Linked DNA regions of Tamandua tetradactyla. The protein of the gene in region 2 interacts with the protein of the main gene of each other region in a biochemical or structural test. Links are inferred from orthologs where the notes say so. Each region holds a gene or a part of one and is shown on either strand. Other genes may lie near its edges. The genes, in order: CYSLTR2, DLG1, TMEM178A and KCNJ4.

Region 1 (7,883 bases), on a different chromosome or scaffold from region 2:
GGCAAGCGCTGGCCTGTCTGTTGCTGTGATGACATTTCATGGACTTAAATCAAAAGCATGTTGGCTGCATCCACAGCCGATTGCAGATGCTGTGGGAATGTCTCCTGCAATGAGTGATACTTAATCTAATCACTGGAAGGCTTTTAAGGAGAATGCAGAAGAGGCAATCATTCTTTCTGCTTCAGCCAGCCAGCCTCTCCTGAGAGTTCGCTGAGGAACTTCATTGGAGCTGCCAGCTCACAGCCCACCCTACAGATCTTTTTTTACATTCCCTGCAGTTGTGTGAGACACTTTTATAAATCTTATAGATATCTCCTGCTGATTCTGTTTCTCTAGAGAACCCTAGCTAATACAATCCCTAACTACTCTTTCTCCCACTAGCCACATGCCATCAAACAAATCTCTTTTGTTCTACCTGCAAATGGTAGAACCAATCTCCATTCAAACTCTTTTCATTTTTGGAACAGAATACTGCAGTAACATCCCAACTGTCTTTCTGTTTCCACCCTGGCTGCTCTACTGTCAAGTTTTAATGAAAAAAATCAGATTATGTGGCTCCTCTGCTCAAATCCCTACAGTGACTTCCCATCATTCTCAGAATAAGAAGCCTTATCATGGTCTACAAAGACTCAGTTGGTCTCCTCCTATGTATACAACTCATCTATCACTCCTGCTAGCCAGGCAAGCTTCTTTCTGCTACACTGGGCCCCTCTGCTGAGATGCCCTTTTGCATTTATTTCCTCACTTCATTCAGGTCTCCGCTTAAATGTTGCCACCTCAGAGGGAACTTCCCTGACCTCCCTTCCTAAAAGAGCTTACACAGACAGACACACACACACGCACGCACGCACGCATGCACATGCACACATGCACTCTACCCCCCTACTTTGCTTTACTTTGCTATATAGTGCTCATCACTATCACTGCTTCACATAATATGATATATTTCTCTGCAAATTATTGGACTCCATGCAATATATTTGGCTAGAATTCTCAGACTTCTTAGAGTTCTGGCTGGACCATACCACATCCGAAACGCTGACTTCAGCCCCTGGCAAAGCCCGCAGACTGCGCCTATTTTCTTCCAACCCCTGGCTCCTTTAGGCACTATGAACTACCTCATACTTAGGCACATGGACATTTCAACCCTTACATGCAGAACGCCACCCCTGTAAATAGAACCTTTGGCTACCCCTAGAATTCGGAGCTATCCAAATCCTAGGCTCTGACACCTAAGGGAGAGGCCACACAGCCCTTGAGAACGCTTGATGTGGGAAGACTCAGGTATCCAGAGCACAGTATAGGAAGGGACGTTGGGGGGAAGGGGACACCCCTCTTAGCCCCAGACTCCCAAACCTCTGGCAGTGGGTCAGGACTGCAGGAAGCCCAGCAAAGTGTTTCTCTAAAAAATGGGCCACGCATGTGGCTCCTCATGCCCAAATCTGAGAGATGGTCTGCATGTATGGCCTGGTCACATTTCATATTAGTTGCCATTTTGCTTTCTTCCTATGCCCCAGCCAAACTGAACTATTTGCTTATTTCTGAAAATAAAAGTCACTATTTTAGGGCCTGGGAGGAACACTGAATAGTAAACAGTAAGTTTATTTGTGTAGGAAAGAAATAAGCAAATGCTTCCTCAAAAATAAAACAGGAAGTTTATGTATGCATGTATGTATTTATTTATTTTGCTTTGTTTGTTTGAAATTTGTTTCCTGAGACTGGAATAATCCTTAAAAATTATCTAGTTCCAGTTCCTTCATGATGCATAGTCAAGGGGACACAGCTAGTTAATGTCTCATTAGGCCTAGAACCAGGGTAGTGTCTGGAAAATCTCGCCAACAACCCATAACACCTGACCATCCTGCCCCTTCGCCTAACTTTTTGTCCTCTATGGGCCCAAAGGTTACAGACCCAGTGACTCTGCCAACACCCTCATCTGAGGTCTCCTCCAACCCTGGAAATCTCTGATGCTCGCAACTTGTCCCATTCCTCACCCTGGCCTGTTGCCAAGAGCCATACCTGTAGCTCCCACAAGTGCCAACAACTTTGAAATTTGGGGTAAATAAAAAGTAGATCTACCTTGCAAGCTCTGGTCCACTGCTGCTGTGAGGATGAAGAAGACAGCTCTTGGAACCATTCCATGCATGCCCCATAGCTTCCTGACAATGACCACAGCAAAGGCGGTGCTGTGATCCCATCTTCACATTACAGAGCAGGAAGTGAGGGGAATAGTTCTCCAGTGCTGCTTCTTCATGGAGCTGTGGAGATGAGGCTGGGGGCAAGGCTGCTGCTCTGAGGTTCTAATAGTTGATTAACCCAATTGAAAATCCATACTGTATGCATATGACCTTACCAATCTCATCTTTGGACAAAAGAGCTTGAAAGAAATTTCATTTCACAATAAGTCGCAGGAGGCTTTCATTCCTCTCCAATTCCCAAAGACTAATGTCCGTTTCATTAAAATAAACAAAATGAAAAAAATATTCAACTCCACATCCCCATAACTAACTCTCGCACATCAGGTTGTCCAGAAGAACATGACATTAGTTTCAAGAGTGTTAAAAGGATGCTGAGGAAAAAATCTCTTTATTTTTCTACTTCTAAATCTGTGAACATTGGGGAAAGGAAAAATCGCTTTAAGACTTTCTTTTATTTCCAGAACAGTCCATAGGAAATAACTTCACTGAAATGTAGCCATTAGAAGCATTTTCTTTGTACAACTGAGACATTATATAAAGCAATGAAATCTCATCAGATTTGCCAGGATGGAAGGAAAATGTTATGGCTTTTGAGGAGATAGGCAAAGAGTCAACGATGTTAAAAAGAAGATAATCCTGAGGGAGCACAGAAATGAATCAACAATTTATCTAATTTGACTTGGAAGTATCACACGGGAAAAAGTCCACAGAATTAGAGTTCCAGAGAAATGCAGCATACAGAAGGGAATCTGATGGACCAGGTTACTTTCAGATCTGTAATTCCTCATTGCTCCCTTCTGATTTCTTCCAGTGCCTCAATGGTGCTGTCATGAGTCCTGTCCATTGTGACCTCAAGGCTGCCCTTCAGTCTGGGCAGGTGAGGGGCGTCTTCACTCCTGACTCGGTGTCACCTACTCAAGGTGGCAGGTGGCCAGGGAAGAAAACTGAATAGAGACTCAAGAGAATCAGGTCCAGCCTCAGCCATGGCTGGTTGTGTGGCCTTGGAAGCAATTTGATGCCTTGGGGACACTTCCATGAGCTTCCTGTATGTTAAGTGTCAAAAGACTCTGGGGAAAGAGAAGGGAAGATGATTTAAAGATAAGACCAGTCCCTAAGATCAAGGGGTAAACTTAGTCTCTTTGTATAAGAATCATAGTGCCATCCCCAAAGACAACATTTTAGTGTTTTCTCTTCTTGACATTTTTCTATGCCATTGTTGGCTCATTTGTTACTTCCTTTTTCTGACATAAGTTTCCATCCTGTGCTTTTCCCATTTACACTGTAACACAAACATTTTCCCATATCGGCATAAATATTTAATGATTGAACTATATTCCATCAGGAGATGCACCGTAGTTGGGGGAGTAAACTACTTTGATGTTATTATTATTTTTTTTAATCTCTTGATGCACGATGCTTTTCCCAAATTTAGAATGATATATTGCTATGGATGGCTCTAGGTTAGTTTCAATAATAGAATGTATGAAAGGAGTTTATATAAATGAAGTTTAACACAGCTGGTGAAGGAGAGACTCGTGAGAAAAATGGCAAATGAGCTACAAAAATTAATCCTAAAGAGTGTTCTATTTTACTGGTGTAAGTCTGAGTTTGAGACCAGAATTTTAAGCTCTAAAGGATGTGGTCCCAGAGAGCAACCTCCTTTAAGGCCATACCCCAAGGGCAGGCTCAGAGCCATAGCATCCTGGGATCCCCAGGAGAGCCCACCAGGCTTTTTGTCCCAGAAGCCATGGGTAAGCAGAATCCATCCCCTCTCCAACCTCCCTGTGCATGCACTCAGGTATTTAAACAGTAGTAGCAACAACAGAGGGAAGTGATGGCCCCAGCAGGGCTGCTGCCCCTCCTCCTTTCCAATCTGTAGACACAAAGAATGACTCAGCTTGAGCACCAAACCTCAGGAACATGTAGAAAGAGAGATGTGGGGGAGGTGGGGGACAGGACAGGTGGAGGGGAGATTGGTTGGAAACAATATAACACAAGTTGAAGACCCTGAACCAGACTGCTTCCTCTGATTCCTCAATCCCTGAAGTTCTAAAGACCACCAGGCTGGCCCAAGGCCTGAGCCTGCTGGTCCTGAGATATGTTCCTTGCTTTACTTCGATTCTGCTTTCTTTGGGGCCATGTGGGGTTTCACCCCTAAAGGCTGCATAGCTTAGATTTCCCTATGGGCCCAGCTTCTGGCTAGATTTGGTCAGAAAGAACTGACAAGAGGTGGGATGATGAGGGAAGGAGGAAAGAAGTTCAGGTATTTTTTTCTCATCAGCTTTTCAGGGAACATTTCTGAGAGACAGTTGTGTCTCCTCTGGTGCCCCAGCTCTGTCAGCTGTCCCTCCAGCCTGGGTCTCATCATGGCTTGTGTTCTGCTAGTCTCTGGGCATCCCACTTTCTCCTGTTGGTCTCTCAGCTCTTTCAGCATCCGTGCAAACACTTCCTGCTTTAAACATTCAGAATGGGTTCTGTGTTCCTGCTTGGACTCTGACATCTATAATACCAAAGCCTTCGTGACCTGAGGGATGGGCTCCTCCAACGAGCTTCTCAGCTCTGTGAGGGGCTCTATGAGGAGCTCGTGTCCAACACTTTCGAATATCATGACAGTCAGCTGCTGGGCACCTCCCATCTGCCAGGCCCATGCTGGCACTTCTAAACCCATACCTCATGCAACCATTGCAAGATACATTTGATGACATCTAAATGATAAGAAGCTAAGTTTCCTCTAAATTTCAAAGATGCTAAGTAACTATGCAATTTCCAACCATTAGCAAATGTTAGGAATACAAACCACAAATGCCCTTGACACTCCAAATTCATCTTACCCCTATTAGAAAACGTTTCTTTATGAACAGGAACGATGGGTTTCCCCATCGCAGGGCTTAGCATCTGCATGATGTTCACATTCATCTGGCATCACTGTTTCCTTAGAGCATCACACTTCCCTCCATCTTAACAGCCCCGAACATGGAGGCAGCGGGAGCCTCTTAGAATGGGCATGCACAAGAGAAATGACACAAGCTAATGGCCCAAGAAGACAAGTACACGAATTGCTTTTTGCATTTAGTTTCTCAAGAATTCTTTGCAGTAGCTTTAATAGCAGGAGACTTCAGAATTCCACAATGCCCAGGAAATCGCATTATTTCATTCAAGTCATTAGGGAGATCCCAAGCACCAAAGCCAGGAGGAGCTGTCCAGACCAGACAATTCACTTTGCTTTCCACAGACAAGCCTTTAGGTTCACATTGAGGGAAGCCCAGGGGACAATTAGCACTACCTTCTGGTAAGGAGGAGGTGAGGCTGGGGAAAGAAGGGAGCTGTGCTGGGGAGACAGGTCTGGGTTCTGTTCTGGTTGGGTAAAAGGAGGTAGGTAGGCAAAGCGCTGCAGGATAGCAAACAGATGGGAAACACAGAGCCGAGAAGTCGTTCTTAAAGTGGAATTTCCCACACTCCAAGCACGTTTGTATTTATAAATTCAAGGCCCTCGTGTATATAAAAAGACTCTCTCTGTTCTGAACATGTTAAATAATTAGGAGCCTGGGAAGATGAGACCCCAGGAAATCTCATGGGGTATGTAAAGGAATCAGCTTGAAGTAATTCCGCTCTGTACTAAAAGGTAGGAAAGAATAAATGAGTTTCTCCTTTTAAGCCAGAAGCAGAATGCCTTAGGTGTCTTTGTTTTCCCATTGTCTACTCTGAGATGGCTCATACTGTGGGTTTCTCAATAAACTTATGCTGATTGCACAGAGGAATGAATGAATCTTGTCAACCTTACGAAATGTATCTATGTTCCTCCTTTCCTTCATTCTTCCTTCTATCCATTAGCCTTCTATGCTTCTATCAATAGGCATTAAGTAGAGTTGTACCAGTCCTCTTGCTGGATCCAAGGACAACTGGGCATGAGTCCTACCTTCAAGAGGTTCATTACTTAAGAGAGAGAGAGAGGCAAAAGGCCTCTCTGCAGGCAAGGCTCTGGAGAAAGAAACGGTCAGTTCTAGCACCCAGCTAACACCCCAGATGCCTCTGTGTGTATTACAGATGAATGTATATAAGCTGCAATAAGGCAATGCCTTCTAAGAATTAGAATTACAAAAAGGAGTCCCTTCCTCGATTAGCTTCAGCCCCCACTAGGGTTCACCAGTTGCCTGTGGAGCAGAAGGTGGACTTCCACCCCACACTGATGACCTGGCAGCTCTTCCAGAAGGAAAGGTAGCAGAAAAGACTTGCCAGAGGCAATGAGGGACATGAACCAGGTCTGGGAGAGAAGCAGGTGCCCCTGGTAAAGAATCCCCAGCAGAGAGAACCCAGTAGAAACTCCAGAATACTCTGCTAGGAGGTTCTGTGGACCTGAGCCTAGGGCCAGCCTGGCTCTGATTCCCAGCTCTGTGTATGTGTGCAAATGACTTATATTCTCTGAGCCTTCTTGCTCACTGTGAAATGACAATAATGATAATGTCGCCACATGGCGGAGTTGTTCTGAAAGTTGAGTTGATGACATGAAGTGTTTAGCACAGGGCCTAACAACAGGGAGTACATTGTATGAAGTTTGAAGGGGTAGATAAAAAGATGAATTACAAACAGAGCCTACTAGCAAGGAGCTGAAAAACTAGTTGTTGGGATAAGACACATACATGCAAATTATGATCTGAGTAGAATGTGAAAGTTCCACAAAAGAAACGGATTAGCTTAGACACCATTAGCATTGATTACTGTTTTAGTTTCCTTGGATGCTCAATCAAACACTGTGCAATGGATTGGCTTAAGCCATGAGAATTTAATGGTTCACAGTTTTGAGACTAGGAGAAGTCCAAATCAAGGCATAAACTAGGCAATGTTTTCTTTCCAAAGACTGGAGTTCTGGGACTCATACCAGTGATCCTTGGCCCTTGGCTCCTCTGTCACATGGCAATGCACATGGGGCCTCTCCTGGCCTCCCATTTCTCTTCTGAATTCCATTGACCTTCAGCTTTTTGCTTCCCATGGCTTTCTCTCTCTTTGTCTGAATCATTCCACTTTATAAGGACTCCAGTAATCGAATTAAGACCCATCCTGATTGAGGTGAGCCACATCTTAACTGAAGTAACCTCATCAAAAGGTCCTATTTACAATGAATGAACATTCACAGAAATGGATTGAATTTAAGAACATGTTAATCTAGGATACATACAGCTCCAAAGCACAACTACCTTCTAAGCAAGGTTTGGAGAAGGTTTGGGGAAACGCAGACTATGACATAGATTTATTGAAAATAGGTTGGAATAAAAAATGGGTAGGATTTATATGCAAGGGGAAGGATGAGAGTGATGACTGTTCTGTCTAGGTAGCATGGAGTCAGAGTTTTTGAATTGTGGGGGTGCAGGAATAGGGATGGGGACAATTACCAGTTCTCTCAGTCTGCAGTTTTTTGATTCATGGCTTTCTCAGTTGCACACATTTCACACTGCATGAAAGCAAGCCTTCCTGAGACTATAATTTCAAATAAACCTCTCAAGGAATTTCTACTTCCCTATCAAGAGTAGACAAACTTAACTATTTACTATTTGGTACTTAGAGGAAGCTGCCTGACATTTTTATGCCTGTTTTAGTCCCTCTTTCCAACTAGATCATAGACTTTCCTAAGTAGTCTTAGCACCTCGCCTGCTAAGACTACACATAGTAGATGGTTAATAACTGCTGGTC
Region 2 (7,357 bases):
AAAGTCCATCAAAATGGCAAAATGTTGATAACTTCTGAAGATGGATGGACAAGTACATGGAGCTCATTATATTGTTTTCTCTTTCTTGCATATGTTTTTAAAAGTCTATAATAAAGCTAAATTTTAAAAAGTGCTCAAGTGTACTGAGGTCTTCTTAAAAATCATTTTTATTCTAAAGCATACTTAGTACAGAGCAACTATTTACCAATGAGTTATTTGACAGGATACACTGACTTGAAAGCAGTTCTTCAAATCACACCAACAATTACTCTGCCAATAGATAAATATAAAGCCACCTCTAATTGGGAATTAGGAGAAAATAAAAGTAATGCAATGATGTATTATATCTTATTTAAAAGTTATCTAGTCAGTGACTAATTATTTTAAAAAAAAATTTATTCTTAGAATTAGAAAGGATAAATCTTCTCCAGTTAAATAATTTGCAAACTTTTCAAGATACCTAGAAGAGAGGGTCAAAGACAGAGCACTTTGTTCTATATATCAGGGACTGGTCAAGAAACGAAAAATTTTGTTTTTAAAAAGGATCTAGCCGCTTTAAAAAAAAAAAAAGGCTTAAAAACCACATTCTACTTTACCATCTGCATTCTACAGCTAATTTTGGCCTAGAAAAGGTTAAGTGACTTGCATAAGATCATTCAGTTAATGGTAACATCAGAAATAGAACTCAAGACCCTTGACTACTGGCCAGTTCTCCTTTGAAACAATGCACTACCTCAAATTTAAGTTACACTTACTAAAACTCTGTCACAATTTTCTTCTCTGTAAAATGAGGTTTAGAGATTATTTAATGATCGTTAGACAAGATCACCTTTAAGATCATTTTCCATTTTCTGACTCTATGAATACAAAGTTTAAACTGATGTCTACATTAAGGAAATGAATGTTCTTAAATATAACACAACCCTTCAAACATTTTCAAGGACTCCAGAGAAATGTAAGTCAAATACAGAACAAAGCTAACTACCTTTTGGGTCCTGAAACACATTCGCAAATTCTCCATCATTTAATAAAGATAAACCTTGTTATCAAAGGCCTCTAAAATAATCATGTTGAAATATTTTTGGTTATTAGATTTTTTGGAAAGGATACTGGTGTATCAAAAATATACAACTCATTGAAGATGTTCAAGTTGTTGAATGTCTGATAGATAATCAAGTATATCATTCTCTTTGGTTTCAAATAACTGAATTCAGAGAAGCTTTAAGACATAACATAGTCATAAATAAACTTTTAATTCCCACCTATTAAAGCCTGAAAGAGGTTGCTCTGAAATATGTTAATAACTCGCTCTATAGAACTTCTGAGCTGTCTGTCCTCAGTTTGGCTTAGTTTCGAGCGATAGTCTTCCAAAAGGTGCAATGCTCTCTGGGTATCTGAGAGAAAAAAAGAGCCTGGTTAAAATTGTATATTTACAAGAAATTATTACACACTAGCTATGCAGACAAATGATTCTGCAAGACATCCAAACTGTTCCCAGAATCCTCCAGGTTAATCTTTACTATGTACATGTAGACATATATTCCCTGGAAGGACGGGAAAATTTTTAAACAGATGTTATTCCACAATAGGAAAAAGGTGAAGATGAGCAGTCTGTAATAAATGTGTACTGGTAACCCGCCCCAGTAAAAGATCTGATCAAAATATTACCAACAGTTTCAGATTATCTGATTTACAAAAGCAGATTATCCACAATTTGTCATAATCCAAATCTTAAATGCTTCAAAATACTAGTACTTAATCAGTATCTCACAATCACTCAAAAAACAGCGTTTAGTAAGAATGGCAAGCAGATTTTTGTGGAGAGTTAAGGGGGTGGATTTATTGCCTTTCTAATGGCTTAGAGAGATATCAAGGAAGAAAGTTTAACATTTAGGTGTTCCCATCTCCTGAAGTGATGTGAGCTTAGATTTCCCAAGTAGTAAAGCTAGGACGGTACTGTCTCACCAAACTTACACAAACATTTTTAAAACACAGCAATCACAAAACAGCTATACGGAAAGGTGACACTCCAAAAGAGAGTTCAGAAATAAATTCTCACCTTGCTTCCGGACCGGCATTGTTCTCCAGAATCAGGAAGAGGGCACGCACCTTTAAAAACACAAAACAGAAAGGAAAAAAAGAAAGAAAGTAATCGTGGTTAAGCCACCACTTTCCCTTAAATCGAAAACCTCCCAGCCCCATCTGAGAAGCCTACCTTGCAAAGTTTTCCCAAATGAAAGGAAGAACCTCAAAACCCTGCGGTGTCAATCCTAGGTACCACTGCATATTAAGAGCAGAAAGAAGTGCATTCTTCGAAATTCTTCTCTAAAGCTTCTCCCTCTCCAAAGAGCACTAAATGCCTAGACGTGGGGCCATTAACACTCCCAACTAGGCAAAAGTATCCAGCCTCCCCATCTACTACTTGGGGTCAAGAAGCGCTCCGACCCTTGTTGGCCCCTGAGCTAGCAGCGGCCAAGGAGCGCTCCAGTAAGGGACCAGCTGGGCTGATCACCCCGCCCCGCTGGGGCCCCCAAGCTCTCACTTGCCTTTCTCCTTGCCCGTTTCCTCTGGGCTACTCCAGTGGGGGCCGGACGGGGCAGCTGCCGCTCTCCGCGACGTCCTCACGCCCCACATGCACGCCTCCGCTGTACCCCACACCTGCGGCGCGGCCACAAAGTTCCTGCGAGCGGTGTGCGCTCGGAGCCGGGGTTCGCTCTAGTTGGACTCCAGGAGGCTCCCCAGCCCTGCCCGGCTCCACGTTCCCCCGCCCCGCCCGGGTCTCCAGTCGCTAAGGTGAGGGGGTGAGGGGACAGGATAAGAGCTCCCGCCTGCGGCCGCACTCCCGCAGCCTCTTCCTCCTCCTCGGCCGCAGACGCCGCGTCCTCAGTCGCCGCGGCCTGCTAGCCCCCACGCCCTCACCTCTCCCGGCCGCCCCACCCCCGGAAACTCGGCTCTTTCCGCGCCCCCAATCTCTCTCCCCCCAAACTTTCCGCCAAGATGGCGGCCTCGGAGCCGGACTGCTGCGCCCCCACGTGACTGCTCTCCCGGCGCTCTCAGCCAATGGGAAGTGAGGAGGCGGCTCGCGCCGAGCTCTGGGCTCTCAGCGCTGCTACCTTTGGGTTGGAGGGGGAGGAGAGCGGGGAGGGAGCTGCGGAGCGCGAAGGGGTCGCCGAGAGCGTCTCGAGTGGGCTTACTCATGTAAAGGGGCGGGCTCCGAAGTGGTGCTAAGGACGAGGGAGTTGACGTACAGGCTCTACAGGTGGTCTAGGTGGCCTTGAAAGAGCTCGCCTTTACTTCTCCCTAGCCCACCGGTGCGCCCCGCGGTTTCTGAGCTAATGTCGTTGTCAGGCCCGAAAGGGTCGGGGCGTTAAAGAAAGACGTGACTTCACACCTGATCCTGGGCACACATTCCCAGACACCCCTTAACCTCACCAAACACGTGCTGTTTCCAACTCCACGACATAAGAGTGCCTGGCGCCCCGCAGGATGGATCCCTATTCGGGGTGGAGCAGACTGTGCCACCCATGTTAGGGGGCGGGAAAGGGAGGGAACTAGAAGCGGAATGGGGGGGAGGAGTTAGGGCGGGGTGCCACCTTTACACTGCTCCACTTTGTACTGTTTTTTTTTCTGTTGCTCTTCGCCCCGCAGAGTTTGGAGGCTTTTAATTAAAGAAGAGGCTGCAAAACAGGGAGATCGGTAAATACGATTAAAGTTTGAGAGTTTTAGCAGAGGACGTTTACATCTAAGTATGACTGCATTTAAGGGTAAGTAGAGAAGATGCGTTCATTCATTCGCTCACTCTCTCACTTCCTCCATGCCAGCTTCCCTGCCCAGTCGCTAGTCTCAGGTATTACCCAAGCTCCGCCAGCCCCTTTAAGAGCTCACCTGTAGCCACCTCCTCAGAGAATGAGCCAGCCTCAGCCTGCAAGGCTGGTTTAAGTTTCGCACACACCTCAGAAGGAAACAGAGGGAAGGCTGAACCGCCTGAGCTGAAGAAAGGGAATCGCAAAAAACTCTTCAAGTTGTTACCGAGGTCTTCGAGCTTCCTCTGGATAACAGGAACCTCCCTTCTCTGAGATTCAGAGAGGATTTGCTCAGGGTCACCAGAGCTGGTGACAGGACTAGAAACCTGGAGAGCCTGTCTTTCAAAACCAAAGACTCTTCCAAGTAAACCTAGCAACCTTTCACTGAAGCTGTGTTCATGGGATCATTAAGGGAAGTCTAGGGAACCTTCTGTACTGTAACTGTAACAGCTGTTCACAGGTATACTGACCACTGGGTTTTACTTTCGGATTGCACCTTGGAATCCTAACTTGTCAGGAAAACCCAATGACTTTAGAGCTCATGTAGACCCACTCTTATTTTAAATAAAGAAATTGTGAGGGAAAGCAACTTTCCCAAAGACATACAGGGTTGTGACAGAGCAGCCCCAGAACTCAAGTCTCTTAAGCCCCAGTCAGGACTCTTTCCACTGTGATTTTGGACAACTGGATAGGTTGGTATATTGGCAGCAGATCGTTATGCTCTTCTGGATCAAGCATCATGGGAGCTTGAGTAACAGCAATATTGCATAAAGAAAATAGGACAGAAGAGTGAAACGGGGATCCTAAAAGCAAGAAGCTTAAATAAAGAGATGGGGTTTTCAAAATAGTGAAAATGAATGATGGCATACATGCTATTATCAATACGTCATTGATGAACTGTGAATGTAATGATAAGAAGAAATGTAGCCTAAGAATAGAATCTCTTCAGAATTCAGGAGAAAGAGGGAGGGAAATTTACCCTTCTCCCTCAAAGCCATTCATTGTTCAAATATGTTCACTTAGTAGGCAATGGGGAAAAATTTTAAGTTCCAAGTCCTGCTAAGGATCCACGGTCTAATAGCAAATAGATAAATGAGCTGTCAATGTCATCCTAGTCCTGCCTTAAAAACAAAGAGGTGGTGGAAGAGGAAAAGGAGAAAAGAGGATATGATACACTTCTTTCTTGCTAACTTCTAGCCTTTGGTGGTTGGGTACTGAACTCCTGCTTTATAATGAGAGATCCATCCTCAAATTTCTATATTGTAAATTAATGGGCTCCCATGTGGGTGTAGAAATACTAACCGCCTCTCATTTACGCCCTTATAAAGTCATACTTTATACTGGTATAGTCCTTCAAACATTGTTCAAAGGACAAATTTAACTCATTTTAGTTTCACAGCATCTTATGGCATAAATTTATTGGTTATGATCTCCTACTTTGCAGAAGAGAACACTGAAGAAGAAGAAAATAACCTCGTCTAGGACACCACGGCTTGCTGGTAATAGAACTGGGATTGATCATTAGTTCATTGTTTGCTTTGTTTTTTAATAAAACAACAACAATGTAAATGTGTGAGGGGGGCAGAAACAGAGACAGAAGAAAAGAGAAAGAGGGTGAAGAGAGAGTCTGAGAAAGTATAAAGAATAAGATATAACAAAGCACAAGTCATGGGATAGTCTGTTATGTATTTATCACATATTTGAATGTCTTTAACAATGAAAGCAATTTTGATGTAAACAGATATATAGCCTTTGAACGCAAAGAAATGAATATCCACACCCTTGTTATATGGTATGTCTAAATGAGTTGGGTTTTTTAATGTAAAGGTATATTTTTAAAACACTCTGCTTCCTTCTCTCCTTCCTTTATCCTGACAAGAATCTTTGAGGATTCATAGATACATGGGACATTCAACCTGGAAGGGCCCTTAGCCACCATCTAGTCCCACCCCCTGAGTTGACAGATGTGTAATGTAAACAGAAGAGCTCCCAAACAGCATCAGCACACAAATATCAAAGGACAATGATCACTTTTCCATGATGGAAGAATACTACTGGCATTTCAGGGAGAATCAATCTTCCTCTATGAAACAGAGAGAAGAGAAAAATTTAGTAATCTTTGCTAAAGATAAATTTCTAAGTGTAACCAAATTTGCCTTTCTGCTTTTGAAGAACTCATGTTATTGGCAGAGTTGTAGGATCCCTTACTAAAGTATTAAGAATTGTGCTGAAATCTCCTTACATGAGATAGCCTCTTCAGCCCTCCGGTGACCGAAAGTATCTGTTCAAAGAACAATTTGGTACTAGTGGTCAATGAGAGGGAGGGGAAAGGGATATCGTCTGTGTGAGTTTTTCTTTTTTCTTTTTCTTTCTTTTTCTGAGTGATGCAAATGTTCAAAATCATGGTGATGAATGCACACTATGTGATGATATTGTGAGCTATTGACTGTATACCATGTATGAAATGTTTGTATGCTAAGAATGTTTGTGTGTTAGTATGTTAAGTTCTATCAATAAAAATGTAAAAAAAAAAAAAAAAGAGCCAATTAAGAAATTTGGGAATCTTTCAATAATCACTGGAGGTTCCTCACTGCTGATAATGACCTATGATGTCCAGTTCTACAGGTTTAAAAAAAATAGGTAGCTTCCCTGTGTTACACTTTCAATTACATTTATAAATGTTTTTATATTGCCAGTATTTTCATAGATACCTGAATAGTGGAAAACAAAGAATTCATAAGAGAAGTGTGACATCCTTTATTTCTCAACAGGCCTCAAATGACTAAATATAGAGTGGGGCATGACCTGAATTCATGGTGAAAAATTGTCTTGGTTCTTCTTAGACTTAGCTGCAACTCTATTACCTTTCCATTCATGTTAGCAGCAACATCATAGGCTAATCATGCATTCTATTCATATTGACTTTGATTTACTACAAATAATTTTATAACCATGGTAAGCTAGTTTTGGCCACCTCTTTGTCATCAAAAGAACTTATTTAAAAGAAGCTTTTGATGTTTTCTTTATTTATCTTACATAAATCAATAGTTGTTTTTTCATTGCACTATCAGTCTTCCTGTAAAATAGTATTGAATAAGATGAAGGAAAATATCTTAATCTAAAATAATGTCATAATAAAGATCATAATTTATGACATTCTGCAACAGTTCTATCTTTATCATTCCAAAGATTGTGAATTTGTGCATTTATAGAAATCAGCTTGTGAACTCTAAAAAGTTGCTTTTATATACAGATGAAATAAATGCTAACAAATAAAAAAAAAAACTAGGAATAATTTGGGTAGGGCTCCTCAGTGTGATTATCTTTTTTAGGCTGAAAGCACAAACTTGGATTTTGAATAAGCACTATTAGAATTTTAAGAAGTCATTTATAAAAGTGATCAGACTTCAACTAGAGATATGAATGAAGCTGATTTGGGTAGGACTAAGGTAAATCAGAATACAGGGTAAAGGATGATATGGTCAGTATTTTAAAACATCAGCTTCTGTGTGAGACCAAAGGAAGGGATGTTTCTTTGGTGCAAAATTTATATT
Region 3 (7,541 bases), on a different chromosome or scaffold from region 2:
GGAAAATGTTAGTGGCATCTTCCTTCCTCGGATTATTCATAAAATCACAGAATTTTAAAGCTGCTAGGGGCCAACCCATTCATTTCATAGATGCTGAAACTGAGTCCCAGCAGAGGTATGTAGCTAGCCCAAGGTAGGGTTGCAGCAATGTTAAAAGCACCTGAGGCATTTTAGCCATCTCCAAAGCAACCAATTGTGATCCTCTAATGTACTGGTGTCCATCCTTTCCTCTAAACTCCTCATTTCTCAATAGCATCAGCTCATTAACTCTCCAAGAAATTAAGTTTACATGGTTATTATTACAAATATGATAGATTTTAGAACTAAAAAAATCCTAAAGAACTGTCAGCTCTCCTAGTTCTCCAGTACAAGAAACTGAAAGTCCAGGAGGCCTGGTCAACTCATTTGAAGACACACTGCCATTTAGCAGCAGCAGCAGAGCCAGCAAAGGAGCCCACGGGTCTTCTGATTACAACCTAGACCTCTTTAGAGTTCTACACAAAGAACTGGCTAAATACCATCAATATTATAAACCTGAGTTTTTTTTAATCTAAAATATGCATTTGTGACTTATACAATCTAGTTCCTTAAAATTGTATGTGAGTTCTGTCTTATGGAAGTACTGGGCTGGACAACCATCTGTCAGAAAGATGTAGAAGGGAGTTGAGCAATGGATGGGAGGTTGAATTCGATGTACCTCTAATGTACCTTCTACCTCCAAGATGACTTGATTCTGGACTGCCCAGGAGATATGCACCTCAGCTCGCCATGAAGCTCCCAGAGGTGGGGACTGTGCAGTCTCTTGTGAAGTCCCTCCCCTGCTGTTGGGTTGGTTGGAGTCTGCCCTGCTTCTTCCAGACACTACTCTATATCCAATTTACATGCAATCATACACTCTAGGCAAAGAAAGAGTGTAAGGAAATGCAGCTCTGTCATTTCCAAAGACAGACTACTCTGCTTAGCTTTCAAAATTGCCTTGCCTAAATGAGCATTCCATAACTGAGCCTCCAAATTCAGCTTTAACAGTTTGCTCATGTACTATGCTACTATCAGAATTAATTATGCAGTATCTTCTTGAGGAGAAATCAGGTTTGGATACAAGGTAGGAGAGAAAAGAAAAAGGCGCACTTCCCAAAGGAAGGTTACTGCATCCGATTCCCCTAAAAGTGCTGGAATCCTTCCATGCATAGACAGATTTTGGATGGCAGTCCCCAACTGAGCTAGCCACGGATAGAAGGAAGTTGACATGTTTGAAAAATGAAGAAATGCCAGCTAACAAGATTCCGTAGGCCAACATATTATTAACCCCTCCTTTCTATGTAATTTCACTCCAAGCTATAATTCAACACAAATCTGTTCGTTTGCTTTTAAGCTCCTGAACAACTACTGTATTAAAATGCACTGATCTGGGACTTTTTTCCTTTTTTGCAAAAATAAGTCCAAGGGAAAGGAGGCTTAATAAGTTTTTATCTCAGAGAGCAACATTTTATATTAAGGGTCAAGTTCTGAAAGTTAGAAGGAAGCCTTACACACCAGACTGCTACATTGAATATTTTTACATGCATGAGATTATAAAAGAAAATTTCAAACTATCTGCTTACTGGCATGGGAGGCAGGTGTAGGATATATTCTAGAGAGCAGATTGATACTCTACAACTCAGTGCTAAATAACAAACAAAACAAACAATAAAAGCAACCATACAAGGTATCACAGCCATAAGACAGAGTGGTTCTATAGAAACAACGTGTGGAAGTCTGGAAAGCCCTATTTTAAAGAGCTTAGGCAGGTTCTCTCCCCCCTCCCGCTGAGACGCCTAGACACCGATCGGTGCGAGGGATTTAACCAGGAAGGCTGAAAAAAAGCCGGTGTCCTATCTGCACACAGCCGCCTCAACTGACAAAGTAAGGGCACCTAAGGTCAAGTGCACACACACACACACCTTGCACCTCGGGTGTGCGCAGGAAGGCTCCTCGGGCCTTCTTAGCTCCCCAGTACACCTGACCGCCCAGCTGAGACGAATGCTGCCAACCCCGGCACGATGCAAGAGAAAAACCTTTCCCCTCTTTTGAGGTTTGCACCACTTTTCTTCCAAGGGTCATTTCTAAAAGGAAGGCATAACTTGAGCGAAGGAGCCCGGCTGGGGAAGGTTCAGTCTTTTTGATTGCTACCCTCAAGCAGCGTCAACGAAACACACACCTGCGTTCCAAGTCGGGTTACAAAGACAGCGAAGGACCCAAGGAGAGGAAGGAGAGGGGGTTGACAATCGCAGGAAAGAAGATAAGGGGGCAGGGGAGGACGGGGTTGTGCAAAGGCACGGACTTGAGGGAACGGGGAAGGAAGATGAGGAGGAGCAGATACGGGAGGAACAAGGGGGTCACGGAAAGAGAGAAGAGGGAGAGAGACCGAGAGTCGAAGGGAGGAAAGGGAAAGAAGGAAGGGAGAAGGGCAGAGAAGGCGGCGAGGAAGGATGAAAGAATGTGCCGGGAGCTGAGCGCCGAGCCGCGGCGGGGGAGGTGGCCGCAGGGACCCGCGCGCCCTCGGGGAGCCGCGGGCTGCGCTCCACGCGCTGGCGCCCAGGCTGCGGGGCGCGGCCGCCGCTCACCTTTCAGGATGAGGGTGTCGATGTCCCGGTCGATGCCCAGGAAGTAGCACTTCCTCCAGAGGCCCGAGTAGGTGGCGAAGAGCGGCCGGCCGCACTCGGCGTCCAGCCCGCCGAGCCCCAGCAGCGAGCGCCAGGACTCGGGGTCCGCGCGCCCGGGGCCGCCGGGGAGCAGCCGGCGCCCGAGCGGGGGCGCGTCCCGCAGCGGCAGGTGCGACAGCGGCATCAGGCGGTTCTTCTGGTCCGGGGGGTCGGCGCCGGCGCGGCTGCGCTCGCAGCCCTCCTTGTGGCGCCGGGGGTCGGTCTCGTACCAGTGGTCGGTGAAGATGGCCGTGACGAGCAGCCCCAGGGAGCAGAGGCTGAGGCCGAGGCTGAGCGCGGTGACCAGCGCCCGCGGCTCCATGGCTCTCCCGCGCCGCCGCCAGACACAATGCACTTGGCCTCGGCGCTCCGCCGCGCGCCCGCCCGCACCCCCCCACCCCCGGCCGCCCGCCCTCCCCCGGCCTCCCCGCGCGCCGCGCCCGGCCCCGCCGGCTCCCGCGCCCCCTGCCTCCGCCCGCCCTCCCCGCCCGGCCCCGCGTCTCCCCGCGCTGCCCCGCGCCGCGCTCACTTTCGCGCCCCCCTCGCCTGCCCCCGCCCCCTGCCGCGCCGTGCGCACCTCGGGCCCCGCCCGCGCTGCTCGCCCCTCTCCCCACCTGCAGAGCTCCCGGCCCGCCCTCCTCCCCCGCGACCCCCTGGCCGCCCTCACTCTCTCCTCTGCCTCCACTTTCCGTCAACTCTCTCTCCCCTTTGCCACTTCTTTTGTCCCTCTCTCCTGGACTCGTGACCCTTTTCTGTCTCCCCCACCTACCCGGGAGCTCACGGCCTCCTGTTCGCTTCGCTCCGATGACCTTAAAAGACATCACCCACCCTCAGCAGACTCAAGCTTGTCACTTGTTCAGTTGATTTCGGCCCGCGCCCCCTTTGGTTGGCAGGAGGCAATCCCTTCCAGGGCGGGCCGCGTGGCGCTGGACTCTTTGGGGTCTTGATCCGGGGCTAAGGACCCTTTCTCCTGCCGCCTCTGGGACCCCTGGCCGCGACCATTGCTGTCGCTGTCCCTCCCACTCGCCCAGGGCAGCCCCTCAGCATTCCTTCTGCCCAGCCCCTCTTCTGAAAGAAAAGCCTACCGAGGGTCACCGGAGCTCTACGACGGCCAGCGATTGTCTCCACTTCATTTCAGCCTCCTCTGAGATGGACTGCTCCTCCGTTGACCACCTCCCTCTGGCACCAGAGTGACGGCCTCTTTGACGGTCTAGAGGCGCTCGGGGTCAGTAAGCCTTGCAGTGGCCCTGCTCTGTGAGGTGATTATTGCCTTTGAATAAGGCAAACCTCCAGTAATAAATCAAAGTAATGATTTTCTTCTGTGCAAGTTTCTGCATGGACTGGGTGGGTAGGCCAACAAGCAAGCCATGCTTCGCACGGAAGTCAACATTTTAGCTCCATCCTGTTCGATCACAGCACTGGCAGTTCCAGCTGTGGTTTCTGCGAATGGCAGGCGGATTCACATTTGCTAAAAAGGAAATGTTAGGACCCAGGGACTGAAAGAGTTCATTGCTTGATGCTGGGTGGTCTTTATAACAGAGGTAAGATACTCTGTGCCACTCAGGTCCTTGGCACCACTGTCTGAGAATACCATGCTGGATGAAGCCAGAAATGGCAATTCTTGTGTTCTTATGCTATGGAATATTAATGACCAAGAGATTATGAGGCATTCATTAGATGCTAAATGTCATTACTCCACGATTTAATGGGACATATTAATTAGTGCCCCACACTGATTGGCATTAATGTGATTTATATATCTCCTCTTGAATGACATCTGTAAGGTGGTATAAGAATCTTGCTCGGATTTATTTTTATTGCTGTTTGTGTTCAGCATCCTCAGAGGGTATGTTACCAAAGAAGACAAATTTTCCCCCTTGTGAGCTGTCCAGTTCCCAGATAGATCACTTAGCAAATCTTTCAGTCATAGTGGACCCTGGTGCCCATTTCTGCTGACTGGACAATGTGAATTATTGCTTGGGTTTTCTCACAGCTTCAGCAAGATCTATGGTGAGGTCTAGTCTAATTAAGGAAGACAAAGAATCATAATTTCAGCGTTCCTCTCACCGATAAGCTTTTCCTTTGCAGGAAATGCTAAACTCATCAGATAAGTCTTATCTGGATTTATACAAAAATGATGAGACTTAGAAGCCTTCTTTTATTTATACTCTATAATATGTGTAAAATCCTGGATCTTTATAGATATACCCAGAGAGAATACCTTTAACCATGAGTTCACAGTTGGCATCTGACATTCACTCAACTTAGCACGTGTCCCTTTATTTTAAACTATCCTTTTGAGGTAAAGTTATTGCAAATCTTACAAGTCCAAGGAATCTTTAGCAAGTCCTCACCCCCATTTTCAAACATGGATGTACTGCAAGAAACAGATATTCAAAATTTCAGAGTCCCCTGATCATCCACATACAGTAATCCTGTCTCCACCTGAAGCTAGAAAGAAACCTCTTTTTCAGGCACTTCTGTTTTAATTTAAGAGAACATAGTATTCTGCCTCATTTTCCTAGTCAGAAGTCTTTGATCATAACCTTCTTAGAAAATAGCATTATCCTTGAAGTTCATTTATATTTGTGTTTAAAACCAGTCTCGGCATATAATCCAAAGGTTACTATATGATGGATTACTCTTGACAGTATTTCATAAAAAATGTCACATGTTACAAATATGGGCCAGCTGTGCGTAATGAGCACGCTGCCTCTGCTGGTGCAGCATGAATGCCCTCGCCAGTGATGTGCCATAAGATGTGCACACAGGCTTTGCTACAGCAACTGCACATTGCTTTCATTCATGTTTTAATTTTTTTCTACTTTTGAATATTTCCAACAATGAAATATCACCCACTCACCTGCACTAGGTAAGGGGCTTGGGAATGCAAAGATGAAAAATGGATCCCATTTTTAAGATGTTCCCAATCTAGTAGCGTGTGACAGACACCTAGACAGGCAAATTCTATAATGAAATAGGAACAGTGTGTTATAGAACTCAGATGATGAAATGACCAGCTGCATGGGCAAGTCAAGGAGACTACATAGGACAGTAACTTCTGAGTTAGTTCTCAAAGGTTGAATTAAACTTTGCCAAAAGGATATCAGCAATATTACACTGGCATTACATTCAGAATATACTTCTTTGATATGTTTCTACTGCACAAATTTGGAGGCTTCAGTATTTTGGACCACTGTAAAATGAGTATTTTTTCCTGCATTTTTAAATCATGAAGTTGACATGTTCTAATGACTACCAGCTAGCTACTTCTGATGAGCTGAAGCAGAAGTCTAAGGCAGCATACTGTGGATGAGGGAAGTTAGCCTGGCAGGGAGTCAAAACGATGTGAGATCAAATATCCAGCCAGAACACTTGGCACGTCTCAGCTTTGGCTATTCCATGATCTCAACATTTTCAAACTTTGCCTGCTTTTCGATTGTCTTAAATTTCTCTTCTATCTCCAGACCTAATATCCCCAGTGCATTCCTCAGAGAACAACAATGTCCTAAAATGACAGGAATGGAGGCAGAGAATTTCTACTTGTCTTACCTTATTATTGAACTCAACATGACCAAACTAGACTCATATATTTCCCTGTGGTCCAGCTGTCCCTCTTAGCCTGTCTCTCTCTCCCTGTCTCTCTCTCCCTCTCTGTCTTTCTCTCCATCCCTCTTTTCTTCCTTCCCTCTCTCCTCCCTCTGTCTCTCTCTTCTTTCTCCTGTTGACAAGTCACTCAAGTCTCTCAGAACCAATATTATAGAATTAACTATCTCATTCACAAACTCATTGGGATTTCTCCTTTGAAATCTCTTTTCTATCCATTCCTTTTTCTGTATTTCTATCCCTGGCTATTGCCATGCCTTTGTTATCTCACAACTGAATTACTATTACAGCTTCTTCCTTGGTCCCTCTAATTCCAGATCAGCCCTTCCTGTAGTTATCCTGGTTACTGTTGCCAAATGCATCTTCCTCAAATGTTACTTTGTATTACCCTTCAGCTTCCAACCCCCCTTTCTAGGCTAAAGAGAAGATCCACTATATTACTCGAGAGTCCTTCTTTGTTTACTGCAGAATTCCCACAGCATTTAAACATCCCAGCCGATTTGTGGGCCATGTTTAAATATTTAGAAAACAAAATGCTTTTCCCTTCTCCAGACACACCCTAATATCTAAATGCTTTATGACATCCATTTTATTTCTCTTTACATTCATGAAATTCCTTAAGTAAATATATTCCTTATAACAAGGTCCACGCACGTGCACCCACACACACACACACAAAGATTTCCAGTTATCACGAGCAATGGCAGTGATTTATTGACATACCTATACTAGACAAAAAGGACCTTCACCCTTTATGCCCAGTGCTGAGACCAAAAGCAGTGTCTACTTTATTTCAAACATTTGGATTCGTTAGAATTCAGACTGTGCAGTCTAACCAAAACCACACACGGGTTTTCATAAAGAGTGAAAATTTTTCTCAGTAATAACAGAATTTTTTTTTCTTCTGGCAATTATGTGGTTGATCTACAATATGTCATTTCTTCTGCAAATATTTGAGGTATCTTTTGTTAAAGTCATCACTCTCGATGTTTTCTCCTAAAACAATTTCATTTTAATTCAACACCATATACTGGACACCTCTAGGGTAAAAACTATTGTACTAGGTCACACTGGGTTATGCCAAGATGGATAAGACCTGGCTGTATCCTTGGAAAGCTTTAGGTTAATGGAGGAAGAAGACAAAAAGGCAAGAGGCCACCATGTGGGGTAGCAAGGATGAGTGCTGTGGCAGAGGCAGGGACAAAATGCAACAGGAGCACCTGGTACAGAGCGGTTGCTTTCCATCGTGAAGAA
Region 4 (6,522 bases), on a different chromosome or scaffold from region 2:
GACGGGTGGGGTGGCGGTGCACGGGGAGGGGCCACATCTCCTTGTCCTGCAGGTAAAAATGGCGGGTTTGGTGCCTCCATCTCTCTCCATTTATAGGTATTTACAAAAGAAAGACATGAGCAACAGGCGACAGTCATGCAAAAGAAACGCACCCCTCTTCCCCCCTCCCCCCAAACGAACCCTCTGCCCACCCACCCCCACCCCAGCGGTCCACTCGCCTTCCGCAAGGTTCTGAGAGCAACAGGGGGTGGGGGGGGAGGTCCTCAAAAGGGTCAGTGGGGAAAGGGTGGTGGCTCTGGGGGGCCCGGCGCCACATGTGGGTAAGGGCTGGGGAACCAGGCGTCCCGGCTCTGGGCCAGGCCAGGGCTCTGGGGTCAGCAGGAAGGGGCTCCCCAGTCCTGGGAGCCCCCACCTCCCTCCAGGAGGCCCACGGAGCCAGGGCCAGCGCTGTCCTGCGTGTGGGAGGGGGTGCCTCCCCACCCCACCCCCACCCCATCCCCGCCCCGGGCACAGTCGCTCGTGGGGAGCGCGGCGGGCGGGGCCGGAGGTCAGATGGCCGACTCCCTGCGGTAGGAGATGTTGTCCAGGGGCAGGGTGGCCTGCATGCGCTCCAGGTCCAGGTGGCTGCCAAACTCCAGCATGCGGATGATGCCCGCCTCCTCCTTGGAGCCCGCCTCCAGGCCCAGGCCCGCGGCCACGGCGGCGGCGGCCGCGGCCTCCTCCTCCATCTCCTCCTCCTCCTGGCTCATGAGGGCCAGCTCGTTCTCGTAGCAGAAGGCACTGGGCGGGGGCGGCGGGGCGGGCAGCACCGTGATCTTGCTCTCCTGCAGCTCCCGGGCGGAGCAGCAGGGCGTGCCGGCCACCTCGTACGTCTTGTGGAAGCGGGAGTAGTCCACCTTGTAGTGGCTCTTCTCCTCGAAGACCACGGGCTCAAAGCGGTGGCCCCACAGGATCTCGCTGGCCAGGTAGGAGCTGCGGGCCTGGGTGGTCATGGCCGTGGCCTCCACCATGCCCTCGAGGATGACCACGATCTCGAAGTCCTCCGACTCCAGCTCCTCCTTGCCCATGCCGTACAGCGGGCTGTCCTCATCGATCTCGTGGACGATGATGATGGGCGACACCAGGAAGATGCGGTCCAAGCCGATGTCATAGCCCACGTTGAGGTCCCGCTGGTCCAGCGGCAGGTACTCGCCCTCCTGGGTCATGTAGGGCTTGATGAGCTGCGCCCGCACGTGGGCCTCCACGATGTGGCTCTTGCGCAGGTTGCCCACGCGCCACATCAGGCAGAGCTTGCCGTCGCGCACCGAGATCACCGCGTGGTGGCTGAACAGCAGCGTCTGCGCCCGCTTCTTGGGCCGCGCCATCTTGGCCATGATGGTGCCGATCATGAAGGAGTCGATGACGCAGCCCACGATGGACTGGACCACCACGGCGATGACCGCCAGCGGGCACTCCTCCGTCACGCACCGGAAGCCGTAGCCGATGGTCGTCTGCGTCTCCACCGAGAACAGGAAGGCGCCCAGGAAGCCGTTCACGTGCATGATGCAGGGCTTCGGGGCCGCCGTGGCCGCCCCCCCTGCCGCGGCCACCGCCGGGCCGGCCTCCAGGTCACCGTGGAAGAAGGCGATGCACCAGAAGAGGAGGCCGAAGAAGAGCCAGGAGACCAGGAAGGCCGCCGAGAAGATCATGAGCATGTAGCGCCAGCGCGTGTCCACGCAGGTGGTGAAGATGTCCGCCATGTAGCGCTGCGACTTGTTGCTCAGGTTGGCGAAGTAGACGTTGCATTGGCCGTTCTTCTTGACGAAGCGGTTGCGGCGTTTCCGCCGGGGCACGTGGGCCTGCCCGTTGCGGCTGTGCCCGTGCATGTCCTGAGGCCGGCGTGGTCACCTGGGGAGATGCAGGGCCTGGGGAGGAGAAGCCAGACGCATGAGAGGCTGCAGAGCCAGGGGCTGCCGGGGAGGGTGCTCTCTCCCAGAGACCCAGGGAAACTGAGGCTGGGGGTGGGGGGGGCGACAGAGACACTCAGAAGAGGAGGGGCTTGGACTAGAACCTGGACTTCCTCTGCCCAAGCAGGCAGCATGTGACAGTTCAGGGTGGCTCTGGGGATGGGAAAAGTGCCCCTGGGGCTGGCCCAACTCCAGGATTGGGGTCCCCTGGACCAGGAAGCCAAGACTCTGGGGTCTTGGGCTCAGTGCCAGCCCCTCCCTGCTGCCTGCTCCAGCCCTCCCACGCCGGCTGTTCCAGGAGCTTCCTGATGCCCACTGGCCCCATTCCTACCCTTCTGCCTTGCTTGGCCTCAGCACAGGGAGCCCGGGACGCACTGGCTCCCACTTGACTTCAGCCTCTGTCCTCTTGGAGCTCTCAGAGGCTTCACAATCTCCTGCGCCACCCAGCGTGGTAGCCAGAAGCCACCTGTGGCTCTTCACATTTGAACTGAACCGAATAAAGTTTACCCTTCAGGTCCCCAGTTGCACCAGCCACATGTAAATGCTCCGGAGCTACCAGTGGCTGGTGCTGCCTTACCAGACAGTGCTGGGACCTGCCACACTTGGATCCTTCCCTCCCGTGTTGCTTTGAGCCCAAGAGCCCCAGATTCCTGTCACTTTTCCAACCTGGTCAGGAGGAGTAATGGGTGGAGAGGACAACGGTGGGGGTTGAGGCAGTGGAAGGGGAGGGACTTGGTTCCTGTGCAGGAGGCATTGCTATTCCCATGTGGCAGGTGGAAAACCACGCGCTTATGGAGGGAAAGTGACACACCCGAGGACACACAGCTGGCAAGTTAAAGATCTAAACCCAGGTGGGTCTAACTCTCCAGGTTTGCAATGTGGAGAGACAGGGAGTGGGGGAAGCAGACACACCCACCGCCCAGTTGTGTAACTTCAAGCCATTCATTGCACCACTCCCAGCATCAGTTTCCAAATCTGTAAAATGGGAATCAGAATCCCCACCTCCCAGGACCTAAAAGGCAACAGTGGGAGCTTGGTGATAGCCAGTCGCCCTCCTGCCTTCCTTCCTGCAGCCCGGGAGGGAGCGGGAGGGGGCAGGCGACAGGCATGATTCGCCTGTCAGTGTCCCCAGCTGTTTAGGCGGAGGCGGCCCCTCACCCGCCCGGCTGCGGGCTGCGGCAGGCGCACCGCGGCAGGCGCACCAGCTGTGCCCATGGAGGGTTAGACCATCCGCCCTCCCTGCCGCCTTTCCACCGGGCCCTGGGAGAGAGATGGCGCTGCCCCGGGCCCCAGCGGCTGGCAGGGTCGGGCCCGGGCCTGGGCTCCAAGTAGCATTTTGGCCCAGAATTATATAAGGCTGGAAGTTTCTATTTTCTGTCCTATTCTTCTTCCTGATCTAATTGTGCATCTGTGGCAATGTTTATACACTTCCCCGTTCAGGACAACTCAGTTGCCGCAGCAACCGGTGCGCGCCAACGCTGTAATTTAGAGATCAACAGCTTCAGAGCCTGCCTCTTCCCGGAGAATCTCCCTCTCCCGCCTGGGGGGGGAGTGAGCCCTGCCCCCACCCTCCCGCCGGGTTCTTTTCCCTTTCCCCTTTGAAGGAGCCCCACCCCGGGTCTGGGCTCAATCCTGGACCCACGTGTGACCTGGACTAGTTGCTTGACTCTCTGACCCTCAGTTTCCTCATCTGGAAGATGGGACCGGAGAGAACTGCTGTTCTGCAGACTTGACAGGTCCCATGGCTCTTGGAGGTCACGACCTTCACCAGGAGGCCACAGGAACCTCCCGTCACCTCCCCAGAGAGAGGCCCAGAGTCCTGTGAGGGGGTTGGGGCCGGGAAACCTCCTGTGGTATAAATAGTTTCAGGACTGGCTTCCTTCCCTAAAGATTTCCCGCTCTGCTCTGTCCCACTGCTCTGACGCCTCCCTTGGCACTGCAGACCGTCAGGGCCAGGGGAGCCTGAGACCACTCAGGCCACAACCCCGCCTGATGTCTGAGGCCAGCAAAGCCCAGGGGGGCCGCGGCCAGAGAAGGGACCCAGAGCAGATCTCTCGGGCCCCCTCCGGAGGGGCATATCCCTTCAGCCTCATCCTCGTCCCTCCTGGGGGTGGGGGGAGGGCTGGCGTGAGGTTTGGGGTGAGGGGAGAGACGGCACCAGTCCAGCACCCAGCCTGGCACTCCAGAGGGGCCGGGACCCCTTGTTTGCAGGTCCGTAGGAGAGGCAGGGGACAAAGAGTGACAGCCTGGGCCTTAAATGACTGAGGACACTGAGGCCCAGACAGGTTTCATTCAAGCCCAGGGGACTATGGGGGAGCCCTTGTCTAGTGGTGTGGGGGAGGGTCCTTCATGGGGCTCCCACCCTCTAGGCAGGGGCCCTGGGGCTGAGGGGGTGAGGGAGATGCCCTCCTCATGGCCATAGGGCAAGGGGGCATCCCTGGGCCTCCCCTTACCTGCACTGCCTACTGTTCCCCAGTATTGAGCTGAAATGACTGGACTTTGCTAAAGCCCCATGTCCCGGGGCCGGCCCCGAGGTTCCCCACCCCATCCTCAGCCCCACCAGTGACCCAACCTGACCCCCACCCCCGCTTCCAACCCCAACACCCACCCTCACCCCAACACTCACTTCCAACTTCAATACCCACCCTGACCCTTGTCCCTCCCCTACTCCTCCTGGACTCCAAGTCCCCACTGCCCCCCTCAGCCCCCACATCTCTTCCCCCTGGGAACCAGTTCGGCACCCTCACCTCCCACACCTCCTCGCCAGGTCACAGCAACCATTTGCTGAGTCCCTGTGGTGTGCCAGGCCCCGTGCTGGCCGCGCTGCCTGGGTCAGCGCCGGCTGGGGCTCCCGGTGCCCCCAGACACATCCTCGCGCCCAGAAATGCCTGCTGGGCTCCACCCCGGAGCACCACAAAGCTGCATGGTGCCCTGTCCCATCCCCTAGGCACACGGCACTCCCCAGCCCTGTCCCCTCCACCGCGCAGGAGCCGGTTGCAGCCCTATCCCTGAGAAGAGCCGCAGCCTGCAAGAGCCCTCCCAGCACCCAGGGACCGGCTCAGATCAATGAACGCTCCGTCGCCTTGGACTTGCTTGGCAGGAACGAGGAGTTCACCTGCCGCCCCACAGGGGTGGGAAGTACAGAGCTTGGCCCTGTGTTTTCGCGTGACAGCTGCTCGAGAGGGTCAGGTTTTCTTCTTGTTTGTCACACGGGCTTCCTCGGCCAGGTGCATGGCCAGAGGGAACCATGCAGGAGAGAAAGGGGCACAAGTGGGGGAAGAGGGAAGAGGGGTGTGAGGCAGCGACAATAATTCAGTACTGCCCTCCCCTGAACAGAAAGCTTTTACTTAAAAAAAAAAAAAAGCCCTGGTTGTTTAGGTGCCTGTATTATGCCATCTACAATTAAATTGTCCTTTTCTATGATGGTCAGAGGGATAATGGCAAGCTCAGGCAAGGTGGCTGAGGCCTGGCTTGGAGGCCTTGCTGTGTGACCTTGAACAGGAACTTCCCCTTCCTGGTCTTTGTTCATGCATCAGCCCCTGTGAGGCTCTGTCCCCGCCCAGCCTCCCTCCTGGGGCTTTTATCAGGGTTGCAGGTTTGGTGTGCTCATGCTCAGGGTTCCTCAAAGTCTGAGCGTGGGCTGCTGGCCCACGGCAAAATGAAAAGGACAGTGGAGTTGCTCTCCTTTACTCTAAGATTACATTCTCAGACTCTATTTTGGAGTTAAATGGTCTTTACTTTAGGAAATGACAGAGAGAGGAGCTGCTAGCTGCTTTTTAAGATTTAATGAACTCTCTTGGCAAAATGAAAGATTGATGATGCTTTGCCAGTGACCACTTTTTTTCTCTTTTAAGTTTACCGTGCTGTGACTGTCCACAAAATCTGGGAGCCCTACTTCATTTGACAACTAGGGAAACTGAGGCCAAGAGCAGGGTGGCTGAATGGTTTCCAGGGTGGCAGCACGGCCTCCCTGGAAACCCATGGCACTGGCCCCATCACGCTCCTGTCCCTTCCCGAGGGGTAGAGGGACCAGAGACCCTACCTGCCAGCAGGCTCCAGAGAAGGTGGGGAGGCCACCTGATGACATTATGACACTAAGTGCACCCTCCATGCTCACTCCCTTGGCACAAGAAGAGACCTTAAACTGGCAGCAGGTCCCAGTGCCCCAGGCAGGCGTCAAGGGCAGCTCTCCCTCCCTCACCCACTCCCTGCTCAGGGAAAACGGAGTATGGGGTGGAGTATGGGGCAGGAGGTGCATTTCACCAGGGCCCTGGAGGTCCGAGACTGGCCTGTGGCCTGGGGAGGAGGGAGGAAGAGTCAGAGGCCTACACTCAGGGAGCACTTCACTGGGGTCAGGCCGCCAGGCCATGGTCCATCTCATTTCACCCTGCCTGAGCCTTTGAGCTCATGGTTATGGGATTGGACAACAGAGGCCAGGGAGGTGACTGACTTGTCCAAGGTCGCCTGGCTCAGCCCTGGGTCCAACTGAACCCATCACTCCTCACTCTGGAACTGCTCTAAGGAACAAATGCTGAGCGAGTGCCAGCTCCCTGACAGGCGCCGCCTCAGCTATCTC

What was found.
Region 1: the proteins of DLG1 (region 2) and CYSLTR2 interact in a test that uses a peptide from one of them, tested with the Homo sapiens proteins (2 studies listed by IntAct, with this or other methods). The link is inferred for Tamandua tetradactyla from reciprocal best matches to the Homo sapiens genes DLG1 and CYSLTR2.
Region 3: the proteins of DLG1 (region 2) and TMEM178A interact in a test that uses a peptide from one of them, tested with the Homo sapiens proteins (2 studies listed by IntAct, with this or other methods). The link is inferred for Tamandua tetradactyla from reciprocal best matches to the Homo sapiens genes DLG1 and TMEM178A.
Region 4: the proteins of DLG1 (region 2) and KCNJ4 form a complex in vitro, tested with the Homo sapiens proteins (2 studies listed by BioGRID and IntAct, with this or other methods). The link is inferred for Tamandua tetradactyla from reciprocal best matches to the Homo sapiens genes DLG1 and KCNJ4.

The regions. Positions count from the first base shown.
Region 1 is NC_135330.1:109,569,918-109,577,800, forward strand, and holds the start of CYSLTR2 (cysteinyl leukotriene receptor 2), read right to left. Parts: upstream 3,017-7,883; 5' UTR 2,080-3,016; intron 1-2,079. UniProt on the Homo sapiens protein: Receptor for cysteinyl leukotrienes. The response is mediated via a G-protein that activates a phosphatidylinositol-calcium second messenger system.
Region 2 is NC_135336.1:16,123,600-16,130,956, reverse strand, and holds the start of DLG1 (disks large homolog 1), read right to left. Parts: upstream 3,021-7,357; 5' UTR 2,547-3,020; exon of another isoform or gene 2,518-2,546; intron 2,359-2,517; exon of another isoform or gene 2,216-2,358; intron 2,110-2,215; 5' UTR 2,079-2,109; coding exon 2,060-2,078; intron 1,395-2,059; coding exon 1,263-1,394; intron 1-1,262. UniProt on the Homo sapiens protein: Essential multidomain scaffolding protein required for normal development. Recruits channels, receptors and signaling molecules to discrete plasma membrane domains in polarized cells.
Region 3 is NC_135343.1:10,996,051-11,003,591, reverse strand, and holds the start of TMEM178A (transmembrane protein 178A), read right to left. Parts: upstream 3,004-7,541; coding exon 2,604-3,003; intron 1-2,603. UniProt on the Homo sapiens protein: Acts as a negative regulator of osteoclast differentiation in basal and inflammatory conditions by regulating TNFSF11-induced Ca (2+) fluxes, thereby controlling the induction of NFATC1.
Region 4 is NC_135333.1:30,788,876-30,795,397, forward strand, and holds KCNJ4 (inward rectifier potassium channel 4), read right to left. Parts: upstream 1,867-6,522; 5' UTR 1,866-1,866; coding exon 549-1,865; 3' UTR 515-548; downstream 1-514. UniProt on the Homo sapiens protein: Inward rectifier potassium channels are characterized by a greater tendency to allow potassium to flow into the cell rather than out of it.